3 linked regions of the Cricetulus griseus genome follow. The protein of the gene in region 2 interacts with the protein of the main gene of each other region in a biochemical or structural test. Links are inferred from orthologs where the notes say so. Each region holds a gene or a part of one and is shown on either strand. Other genes may lie near its edges.

Region 1 (3,649 bases), on a different chromosome or scaffold from region 2:
TCTATTATGCATGTATACTAAGAGCTTACATAATAAGATGCAGTTTCACAAATTGAAAATTCTTACATAAAAGAAGTAATTTATTGTAGAACCTAAAGGGAAATACATTTGTATCTTATTGTGGGTAATCTGCATAATTCCTAAAAACAAAACTGGCACTTTCCAATTAAAATGTGCATAAATTATATTTCAAAAATCAGTTCATGACTTGATCCCAAAATACAAACTATTGTCTAAGGTATATTTAGTAGTAAGTTGTCAAAACCTTAAGTATGTTTTTATATGTAAACATTATTTTTAACGACCACAGTGTACTCTCTTATGTGGATGTGAAATCATATATACTTTACTTGTTCTTATGGTCTGGATATTCAAGTCATTACTAATTTTTTATATGTCTTTTTTAGATGATAGCAAATGAACATTTTTCTATAGGAAGCATGGGTTACTGTGCGATTAAGGAACCCCACCTTCCTAACACTTGACACAGAGTGAGTGCTGTGGTCACCAGCCTTACTGCCTTGTGGTAATCTTTTGAAAAGTCAATGACCTGATGTTCTTATAGTGTCCGGCACACATGAGTGCAGAAGGGAAGCCATTCCAGACCTTCTCTGGCCCTGTAGTGGGTGAAAGAAATGGGTGTTGACATGAGTTTCTGAGGGAGTCACTGGAGCATTCTAGCAGCAGGACAGCAGTCAACAGTATTTGGAGAAGAGAAACCTGAACTTAGACTGCAGTTCTAAGGGGGTGTGAAGTTTCTCTGGTTATTGATTGTTCTCAGTGTGTGTTCTGGCCTTGAACTTTAGGAATGCATTAGCAGAGATTATCTGAATATAAGTTTAAGTTAAAATTTGTAAGTTTGATAAAAGTGATATATAATTGAAAAAATTACAGTTTTATTTAAAGTGTGATTTGGGTGTGTACTTTGTTTACTGTATTTGTATTTCATATATTTTGTGATATTTTATTCAAGTGTGTGTCCAATGATGTCTTTTCTGTTTGTTTGTTTTGTTTTTTTTTTTGATTATCTTAGTCACGTGAACTGGAAATTTCAGTTTATTGGCGTGATTGGCGATCTCTGTGTGCTGTAAAATTTCTGAGGTTAGAAGATTTTTTAGACAACCAGCGGCATGGCATGTGTCTCTATTTGGAACCACAGGGTACTTTGTTTGCAGAGGTAATAAATGTATTTTATTTAATGCGCATAACTGTAGTAGAAATTGTGTGTGTCAGCAGCATGCTGTGGAAGGGGCAAGAGTGTTATGTCAAAAGATGAATGCCTTCAACTCTGCCACTCTGCTGCACATTAGGGGTGTGACCTTGAGAACAATCCTTTGTCCTCTCTAGGTCTGTGTTCTCGTCTGCAAAATGAAGGGGTTGGAGTAAGTTATAGATAATATACCCCTTAAGTTCTCAAACTTAGGAGTCTAGTAGATTGCACAAAACATAATCCTTACAGTTTTCATGTCAACTAGGGTTTTCTTCACTACAGGTTACCTTTTTTAATCCAGTTATTGAAAGAAGACCAAAACTCCAAAGACAAAAGAAAATTTTTTCAAAACAGCAAGGTAATTACTAAGAATATAATGCAGCCTTTTATAGAAAATCTAGCTGTCATTCTAAAAGGAATGGCATTTTCTTTTTAGTGTCCATTTCTAACATTTTTAAGTAGTTTTTAAATATAACCTTAATAATAGAATCCATTACTCCATTTCTTTGTTTTGTTTTATTTGGTTTTGAGACCATCTAGTAGCCTGTGTGACCTCGAATTATGCTGTCTGATCTAAACATGGTCTCACTGCCTTTGTCTCTCAAGTGCTTGGATTATAGGCATGCACCACCATGCCTGGCTTCATCACTGAGTTTCAGTAATAATAACACACGATTGTCCTCATTTCCCACCCACTCGCTGCTTTCTGAGCTTATTTGAAGCAAACTCAGATATCACTGAGTCCTGTTGTTCATTACCATAGATGCCTTAAACTAATGACACCAAACTTCTAGAGTTACAAAAAAAATCCAAACTTTATCTGCTTTTTAAAATTATTTGAGATATTTATGCTAACTTTTAATAAAAAAACAAAAGCTGAGAACTAGAGAACTAGTTTTTAAATTACAAAATTTATTTGTTCATAAATTATAAACTGATGAATATGGGTTTTTTTTAAATTATGGCTTTTGGTAATATATAAAGGAATTACATATCTTGCTTTCGTTATTCACTTTATCTACAGGCAAAACATTTCTCAGAGCTCCTCAAATGAATATTAATATTGCCACGTGGGGAAGGCTAGTGAGACGAGCTATTCCCACAGTAAATCATTCTGGCACATTCAGCCCTCAGACTCCTGTGCCTGCTACAGTACCCGTGGTTGATGCACGCATCTCTGAACTAGCACCTCCAGCCAGGTATATGTCTTAGAAGGCTTAAGTATGTCTTACACGGCCATTACCGTGACACCATAACATGATTACAGCAGCTGCTATATGAAGTCCCAGTCTTTTCCAAGTAGAATTGTGAAAATACTGCACTACTTGTTTAAAAGAAGTTAGTTTGCTTTTATTTTGCAGCTACTTAAAAATAAAGACTTTGATTGCTGTTTTGGTAAATTGCTTTGTCTTCTGAAAGTGATTCTACAGTAACCAAATTGGACTTTGATCTTGAACCTGAACCTCCTCCAGCCCCACCACGTGCGTCTTCCCTTGGAGAGATAGATGAGTCTTCCGAAGTGAGAGTTTTGGATATACCTGGACAGGCAAGTATTCTAACCCTTCCTTCTGCAATGCCTTCTTAACAGTATCAGCATCGTAGTGACAAAAGTGTACATTTCAATTAAAATTGCCAATATGAACTCTGAGTTTAGTGTTTTGTTTTGGTTGTTGTTATTGTTGTTTTGAGTGGGGGGTTGTTTGGTTTTTTATGAGTAAATTTTCTCAAGGAGATGAAGTTGATGGGAGTTGGCCACTTTCTTCATGTTGGAACACTGTTACTAGCCTCTGTATTCTCACAGGCCAAAGGGGATGCAATAAGCTGCATAAATTGGAAGATAATATGTTGTTTTTTTCATGGTTTTGTTTTTTCTATAAGAACAACTAACCAAGTCTGAAACTTCTTCTCTAATGCTTTTGGAATTGTTTCTTAAACTTTATGATTATGAAATAATGTTTGTTTGTTTTGCTGGAGATTCCTCTAGCTTATGAGCACTTGATATTTTACAGAGTTCAAAAACTGTTTTTGATATTGAGAATGACAGAAGTAACATGCGTCCAAAATCCAAATCTGAATATGAGCTTGACATTCCTGACTCAGGTCAAAGTTGTTGGAGTGTCCGAGAGGAACAAAGGTAAGGCACAAGCAGGTGCATTGCCTTGCTGATGTAGTTCTTCTGTAGTTGCCTCACTTTTAATTATTACTATTTTAGATCTCAACCAAGGTTTCAGTTCAATCTGCAAGACTTCAGGTGCTGTGCTGTGCTGGGAAGAGGACATTTTGGAAAGGTAATCCATGAAAATTTAGGAGTACATACAAGATTGGTAAGTCAAATGAAAATTAATTATTTTAATCTTATTTCAGGTGCTGTTGGCTGAATATAAGCACACAAATGAAATGTTTGCTATAAAAGCCTTAAAGAAGGGAGACATTGTGGCT
Region 2 (3,694 bases):
AACTTTTTTTTTGAGACAGGATTTTGTTATATAGCCCAGGCGGGCCTCAAATTAACAATCCTACCTCCTGGAGTACTGCAATTATAGGTTTCTCACCTCACCTACTTCCAGTTTTTAAATTCAGCATTTGTACACAGCATGCCATCATTGCTAGCAGTTATAACGCCATGGAACCAAATGTACTGTCTACAGAACCCACTAATCTCAAGTCAGTCTTGCAACAAGGTTAGCCAATCTCTCAAGGTTAACCTCCTCCTCCTCCTACTTCCACCCCACCCCATGGACTAAGAAACACCTGAACATTTTACTCTTCTAAAAATTTACACCGCTAATAGAGAGGATGGGCTGTTAAAAGGATTAATGATGAACAAAGAATAAGGACTATGAAAACACTCCAACAAAACCATTCTCACACACTGCACAGACCACTGCTTATGTATGTGATTTGTGCATTCTCACCAGTTCAAGTTAAAATCTAGTCAAAGGGGCTATAGTAGCCTGAAGACATTCTAGGGGGACCTCATTATGTTGTCTTTGTTAACAGTCAACTCCCAGAGGCTGGGTCCTCAAGAAAATCAACAAACTCAAAGACAAGGCTAAGCCAGAAAAGGGCTATGTACAAAAACTAGAAATTTAGACGGGCATTGGTGGCGCTCGCCTTTAACCCCAGCACTCAGGAGGCAGAGGCAGGCGGATCTCTGTGAGTTCGAGACCAGCCTGGTCTACAAGAGCTAGTTCCAGGACAGCCTCCAAAGCCACAGAGAAACCCTGTCTCCAAAAACCAAAAAAACCCCAAAAAACTAGAAATTTGTTTGGCAAGTGAACTGACCAGATTCTCCCTAAATACGCACAATCTGCAAGGTGAAGAACAGCAAGAGAGTAATCAGGAACCCTGATTTTAGCCGAGAGTACACGGAGGACTTTTTTTTTCAGATAGAAAAGTAGTTTTAGTCTAACTAGACATATGACCTTCAAAATTTTTAACGCTCACCAGGAACGGTGGTACACATCCCAGCACTATTCAGAAGGCAGAAGCAGGACAGCTAGATCTACAAATCAAGTTCCAGCGCTCAAGTCAGACTCTGTGTCCATTTCTCTTAAGTAGTAGGCAGGGGTCTCTCCCACTGTTCTCTCTGCAGAGTGCTAATAAACCTTTCTCTTGAAAAAAGTCCCTGAACTCAGTCTCCACGCCTACAAATGGAGTCAGCCTATAAATCCTTTAAATCTTTTCCAGTCTATATGGGGGAAAGTTGGCAGATTTTCCTTCTCCAGGAGATTTCTGGGTAGCGGCATTGTAAGTTGAACACTTGACTTTTGACTCAGTTAGTTATAGGGCTGGAATAAAGCTCAGAGATATAGCACCTGCTCACTATGCCCCAAGCCCTGAGTTTAATTTCAAGCACCAAAGAGAAAAAAAAAATAAAATAGAAAACACAAGCTCTCTATATATTTTATGCCCCTAAGAAACACCTAAGTAGACAAATTCTCACAATAGTTCTGAGAGCCTTCAATAGTAAGACCTAGCCTTGTATTTTAAGTTAACAAGGATACTTGTGTTAAATGTTCCAGACAGTATCACTACCAAGATAACCATGTGGATGGTGAGAAACCATCCACACGGTACATTCACACTTGGACATGTGACACTTAATGGCTGAAAATTCTCACCACATACTACATTGAGTTTCCCATCCCTCCAGGTTTGCCAGAGGAATATAATCTGGTTATATATAACCTGCAAAACAACACTTATTTCAAAAGAATGTCAGAAGACAGAAAGAACCATATGAATAACCAACAGAGGTTAAAATTCTTAGTGAGGACTATTAGAAAATACAAGTAGAACCAATTGTGGGACAAAAAAAAAAAGATGCCAATTTCCCACTTTATGCTACTAAACAAATCAAAAAAACAAAAACAAACAAAAAATATTTGGGTGCAAAAAGTACAATTTCAAGAAAACGACCTGAAAAGGGAACCCATCTGTAAGTGATTCCTAATTAAAGCAGTAACTTTAAGTAGAAATGCATCTATATCGATGCAACCTCTCCAAATTATTTTTACAATGTTTTTTCAACTGGAAAATACCTTCCCCCCATACAGTCTTCACCGCTAAGATTTCAAAACAATCATTTACTTACACAATCTCTAAGAATACGGCATTGAAAACAGAAAATCCACCCAAAGCCTCACTGTCTTCACCCGGTATAAAACGGTGATTAATGATCCACATTCAATGTAAAAGGCAAAATGGAGTTGTAAAAGAGTTTCTTGCCTATTCCAACTCCCGACACCACGCGCGCTTCACAGTGGCAGACTCCCCCAGCGCGGTCGCGGGCCGGCCGGGAGCCCCCGCCCAGCCCGGCGCAGCCCTGAGAGGAAGCGACGGGGAGGGCGGGCGGCTAGGGCTCCACCAGGCCCGGCCGGGCGGGGGAAGGGGGACTGGAGGCGGCGGGGCGCGCTTCGGGGACTGCGCGGGGCGGGCGGGGCCGCCGCCTCGGGCGCGGGGCCCCGGTCAGGGGGGGCCAGGGCTGCCGGCCGAGAGCAGCAGGTGGGGCGCGCCCGCGACTGGGGGACGGCGGGTGCCGGAAAGTGCCGGGCGGGCGGGCGGCGGCGGCGGCCGGCCGGCCGGGCCCCCGGAGCCGAGGCGGCTGGAGGGAATGCTTCTGCTCACCTCAAGGCGACCACTCCAAGTCCGGCCTCTTCGCGCCGAGGACGCCTGTCCGCGAGTCCGCAAGCTCGGAGACGAGGACCGGCAGCTCCGCGGAAGACGGCGGACTCAGCAGAGAACCGACGGAGGACCGCGGGCGGCGGGCGGCGGGCGGGGAGCGCGAGCGAACGAGGGCGGGCGGTGGCGGGAGGGCGGGGAGCGACGTGCGCGCCCCCGAGCGCCCTGCGGGCTCGAGCTGGCGCCAGTCGCGGCCCCGCGCACGCGCGCACTCTCGCAGTTCGTCCACGATTGCTCAAGAGCGCAACCACGCCCTAAAAGCAAGACGCTTAACCAATCATTGCGGCCGCGTGGAGCATCACGGGAACTCCGGGGCTATAAAAGACCAAGTTGCTATTTTATACTCACCGATTCACTCATCCTTTAAGTAGCAGGGCGGGGATGGGTGCGCCTGCGCGGTTTTAAAGCCCTGCCCCAAACTGCCAACACTTCGCGCAAGCGAAGTAGATCGTCTTTGCCCGACATTACGCGTGCGCACCTACTTCTCTAACCCCGGAAGACCGTGCGCTTGCGCAGTGAGAACTACGGTGACAGTACACCCGGTGGGGCGCTGGCCAGTCATGGCGGAACCTTGGTCTGGGCAGTTTTTGCAAGCTCTGCCCGCGTCGGTGCTCGGAGCGCTGGGCACCCTGGGCAGCGAATTCCTGCGGGAGTGGGAGACACAAGACATGCGAGTGACTCTCTTCAAGCTGCTCCTGCTGTGGTTGGTGTTAAGTCTCCTGGGCATCCAGCTGGCGTGGGGGTTCTACGGGAACACAGTGACCGGGTTGTATCACCGTCCAGGTGAGGCTCCCTACGAACCTCCTTGGCCTGGCTGCCCCTACCACCACCAAGCTATACCACTTGTTTCTCCTGTGTCCGCGTAGACTGCCACTGGTCTCCCAGAAGCCTCGTTGCACCCAGACTTACACCCCCATACCATCTTACATCAGAATCCCCACCTGTCCATAATCACGTTGTAACGGT
Region 3 (3,749 bases), on a different chromosome or scaffold from region 2:
AGTCGTTTGTGCTAAGAGAATGTGTGTGTGTGTCTCTTTATTACAGGGAGGGAACAGCCTTATATACAGATGTACAGCACAGTGGAAGAACCCAAGGTGTAAGAGCTCATGTTTTCCCAGGTGTGGTTGATGCCAGTAGGGCAAGGCCAGGACTAGAAAACAGGATGTACCTGTGGTTATTGGCTGACAAGCAACTCACAGAGACCCCATGGGGGCTGGGGCCCAACACTCGGGAATATACACTTGAAATCCTTTTCTTTACTCTTAAGGGGTAGTCAGTCCCTCTCTAAAGATGCCATGTCAGGTAGATATAGCCAGGAGAATGAGAGAGATCATGTAAAGACCATAACCAGAGAACTCATGCAGGCACGTTTGGTTTATGCCTGTGGGGGAATCTTGGTTAAAAATATGGTGTGGCTGTCAGATTAATCTGTGTGTAAATTTTCTATCAATTATGTTACAAGTCACTTCAATGTCCAGAGTGCAAATTTCTTAAATGGTGATACCAGTAGAGTCTATCATGAAATTGTGAGGAATCAGTGAGGAAAGATGTTATGTTTAACATATAACCTGTCCTATAGTTTGTGCTGGGTATGTAGTAACTATTTAATTGCTGCTTAGGCTATTGGCAATAATTAGTCTGTCTACATAAACAACTAGAAAGCTAATCTAGGATTCAATGCTGAGTATTGTAACTCCATAGCTGGTCTAGATTGGCGCTGGCTTGAACTCAGTTCTTGGCACATAGTTTCTATATCAAGTAACTCATTTTTTACATTATTTTTTAATGCACTTACTGCTTGGTGTCATATACATACAAGTTGCATTATCCCACAAAACTTAGCCTTAAATTTTCAACCAAAATAACAGTGTTCCTACGATAAGAGTCTTGGTTCAGACAATGAAATTCGGCCTGGGGTGTGAGGTGGTCTAGCTCTGCGTGGGAGCCCAAAGGCTTCCTCTGTTCCAACCGCCAGGGGGCAGCACTCCCCGCTGCGGTGTGGAAGAGCAGCACCGCCCACTCTCCGTCCCCCCCTCCACGTGGGTCCGAATGGTTAGGCCCGCCGGGCAGGTAGCGCGCTTCCGCGGCGTCCCTCCACCCCCCTCCCCTGCCCCATTGGTAGGGGCTGCGGGTCCGGGCGGAAGTGGGGCAGGCGGGCGGGAGCGAGGCGTCACCGTTGTATATTCATGAGGCGCGCGCAGCCCAGCATGTTAATGAGGCGGGGCGCGGCGGCCGGCTAAGAAGGCTGCTGGGCGGCGGCGGTGGTTGCTGGCTCGGGCTAGCCGGGCGCGAGTGGCGTAGACCAGGGGTCCCTGGCCGGAGCTAACCAGAACATGGAGCCGTCCGGCGGGGGCCTGGGGCCCGGCCGCGGGACCCGGGACAAGAAGAAGGGTCGGAGCCCGGATGAGCTGCCCGCGACGGGCGGCGACGGCGGCAAACCCAAGAAATTTGTGAGTGTCCCTCCCACCCTGCTCCTCAGCCTGGCGGGGTGGCCGCCCTCTGAACTCGGGCGACCCTCGCTGCCCTCCGGGGGCGTCTGCCTGCCGCTGGGGAGCCGCCCCCGCGCCTCTCTTCCTGGTTTCGCTGAATCCTGGGCTTCGCGGTCCCACATTCTCCTCCTCCCGGACCTCGGGAAGCCCGGGAGTCCCACCTGGCCCTCGCCTCGGCCACCTTGGAGCTTCCCTCGCTCTGGAGTCCGCCGGCTCTGCGCTCCCGCCCCCGTGGCCCGCGGGCTCGCAGCCTCACTTCCTTTCTTCTGCCTCTAGTACCCCCACACATCTTTTTTTTTTTCTCTAAATTTCTTTTCTTTTTTTTTTTTTCTTTTTGATTCCCTGTAAGCTGTTTTGGGTCCATTTTCTCTTCTCACTCACACCCCGTTTGGGTTATTCCCTTTCTTCTAAAAGGTCATTTCCTTCCTTACTAGTGATCCCTTTCACCTGCTAACTTTCCTCCCGCCCTGTCCCCTTCCAGGGCTCTCAGCCCGGTGTCACCTGGTAATGCTTCCCCGCAGGAATGTTACCTGACTTGAGTCCTGTCTTCCCTCCTCCTTTGGACGTTTGTCCTTGTGATTACGGGTTCTGCCCAGGTCCTGTGGTCACTGGGGCATGGCAGTATATGACTTCCCAGTATTTCCCTATCCACAAACCTGTTTCTTACTGCCCTGTTGCTTATCACTTCAGAGGTTTAGAACTTTTTTTCACGATACTATGCCCTTCATGACCCGAGATGATGATTAATCTCCCTCTTGAACGAGTTAGACTTCAAGTCCAATAAGTTTGTGAGTAATTTGCTTTTTATACTTTTAAAAAATAACAACCATCTCCTTAACTCGCCTTTGGCCATCTTCTGTGTCTCTAGGTTCCTGACATCCCCTTTCCTATCTGTAGGAGAGTATGTATCTTTCCTTAGGTGCCGGTTATTGGGACTTTCGAGGTTCATGTAACGCGGTATTTTACTACCTGTTGCCTTTCCTAACTAAATCCTCTTCTGTCTCCAGGGAGCTACTTTGCTTCTTCCTGTAAAAACTTTGAAAGATACTGAGCAGTCAAAAAGGGAGTTTCTGCTCAGTTGTTGCCAGTTAATAACTAGATACTTAGTTTGCTCTTCCAGGTAGCACCAGTAATCTCTGAAGCTAAATGGCTTGAATTCTTCTTAACTCTTGCTTTCTTTCACGCACCCCCACCCCCAGCATTCTGATCCAAGTCCCCGAGTTTGGGAATTAAACTGATGAAGTGATGGAAGTGGGAAGAATATGTTTTGTGACCTGGAGGGTTGAATTAAAAGAGTGACTGACTCATCTCTTCCTATTTCTGGCAAGACCAGGTGCTCCTGTTCTGTCCTTTCTAGTGACATACAGGGTGTCAGTAACTGTTTGATCTGGCAAATACCTTTGTAGAAATAGGATCCTAGGTGACCACAGCAATATATCCTTAGGTTCTTTCTTTAAAGGTAGGAATTGACCCTCCAGTTTGAGAACTTTCCTTCCAAAATGTAAGTTTTAGGGCCTGTATTCTATTTCCGTGTCTTTTTGTTTTGATTTTGTTACCATGGATACTGTTTGACCTTCGTCCATACTGGCTATTTTTGCTGATTTGTAGTGACCTCTTATTACTGTTTCTTTTTAAAGTTTCATGTGTGCTTTTTTATTTTTTCTAATACCGTGTCTCATAAAATTGGTGAAATCTACTGGTGTGTGTGGTTAGGTGAGAAATCCCAGGAACCTCAACTTCTTTCCACCTGTTTTTTTGGCACAGTTTTGTGTTCGCTGAGTGGATTTGGCCCAGAGTTGTTGATAATTTGCTTTATAGAGGGTGGAGCTGAACCTACTTCTCTTTTACTGAGGTTCTGGTTTTAACCCTTACATTACTGAATTTTAAGAACTGGGTATTGCAAGTAGTGAGGATTGGAAGGTTTCCAGGGAAGCAGGCTTCTTCACATCCTAATTGCTAAATATAATCTACCTTAAGGCATCAGGATATTCTTACTGCTTTTTATGAGAACTATGAAAATGAGAGACAAGGAGCATTGCAATCCACTTCTCTTTGTCTCTGTATATATAAGTGTGTGTGAGTGGGTGGAGTGGGTGAGATTGCTGGGGTGCTTTTGTCACCCAGGGCTCAGTTTTCTTGAACTACTGGCTAAGACCAATCTCAAAACTATTTCGCCTACTCCACCTTTTCTTAAGTGTGGTATCCGCCAGAACTCCCATTCTGAATGTACTGTACAAATGTGGCCTGGACTAAGTGTG

What was found.
Region 1: the proteins of Rhoa (region 2) and Pkn2 form a complex in vitro, tested with the Homo sapiens proteins (2 studies listed by BioGRID, with this or other methods). The link is inferred for Cricetulus griseus from reciprocal best matches to the Homo sapiens genes RHOA and PKN2.
Region 3: the proteins of Rhoa (region 2) and Diaph1 form a complex in vitro, tested with the Homo sapiens proteins (2 studies listed by BioGRID and IntAct, with this or other methods). The link is inferred for Cricetulus griseus from reciprocal best matches to the Homo sapiens genes RHOA and DIAPH1.

The regions. Positions count from the first base shown.
Region 1 is NW_023276806.1:16,327,580-16,331,228, forward strand, and holds part of Pkn2 (serine/threonine-protein kinase N2), read left to right. Parts: intron 1-1,033; coding exon 1,034-1,177; intron 1,178-1,492; coding exon 1,493-1,568; intron 1,569-2,234; coding exon 2,235-2,409; intron 2,410-2,629; coding exon 2,630-2,756; intron 2,757-3,219; coding exon 3,220-3,344; intron 3,345-3,422; coding exon 3,423-3,498; intron 3,499-3,574; coding exon 3,575-3,649. UniProt on the Homo sapiens protein: PKC-related serine/threonine-protein kinase and Rho/Rac effector protein that participates in specific signal transduction responses in the cell.
Region 2 is NC_048597.1:216,485,464-216,489,157, reverse strand, and holds the start of Rhoa (transforming protein RhoA), read right to left. Parts: upstream 2,817-3,694; 5' UTR 2,675-2,816; intron 2,280-2,674; exon of another isoform or gene 2,142-2,279; intron 1-2,141. Other genes in the region: Tcta (T-cell leukemia translocation-altered gene protein), read left to right, coding at 3,289-3,511. UniProt on the Homo sapiens protein: Small GTPase which cycles between an active GTP-bound and an inactive GDP-bound state.
Region 3 is NC_048595.1:199,706,988-199,710,736, forward strand, and holds the start of Diaph1 (protein diaphanous homolog 1), read left to right. Parts: upstream 1-1,335; coding exon 1,336-1,452; intron 1,453-3,749. UniProt on the Homo sapiens protein: Actin nucleation and elongation factor required for the assembly of F-actin structures, such as actin cables and stress fibers. Binds to the barbed end of the actin filament and slows down actin polymerization and depolymerization.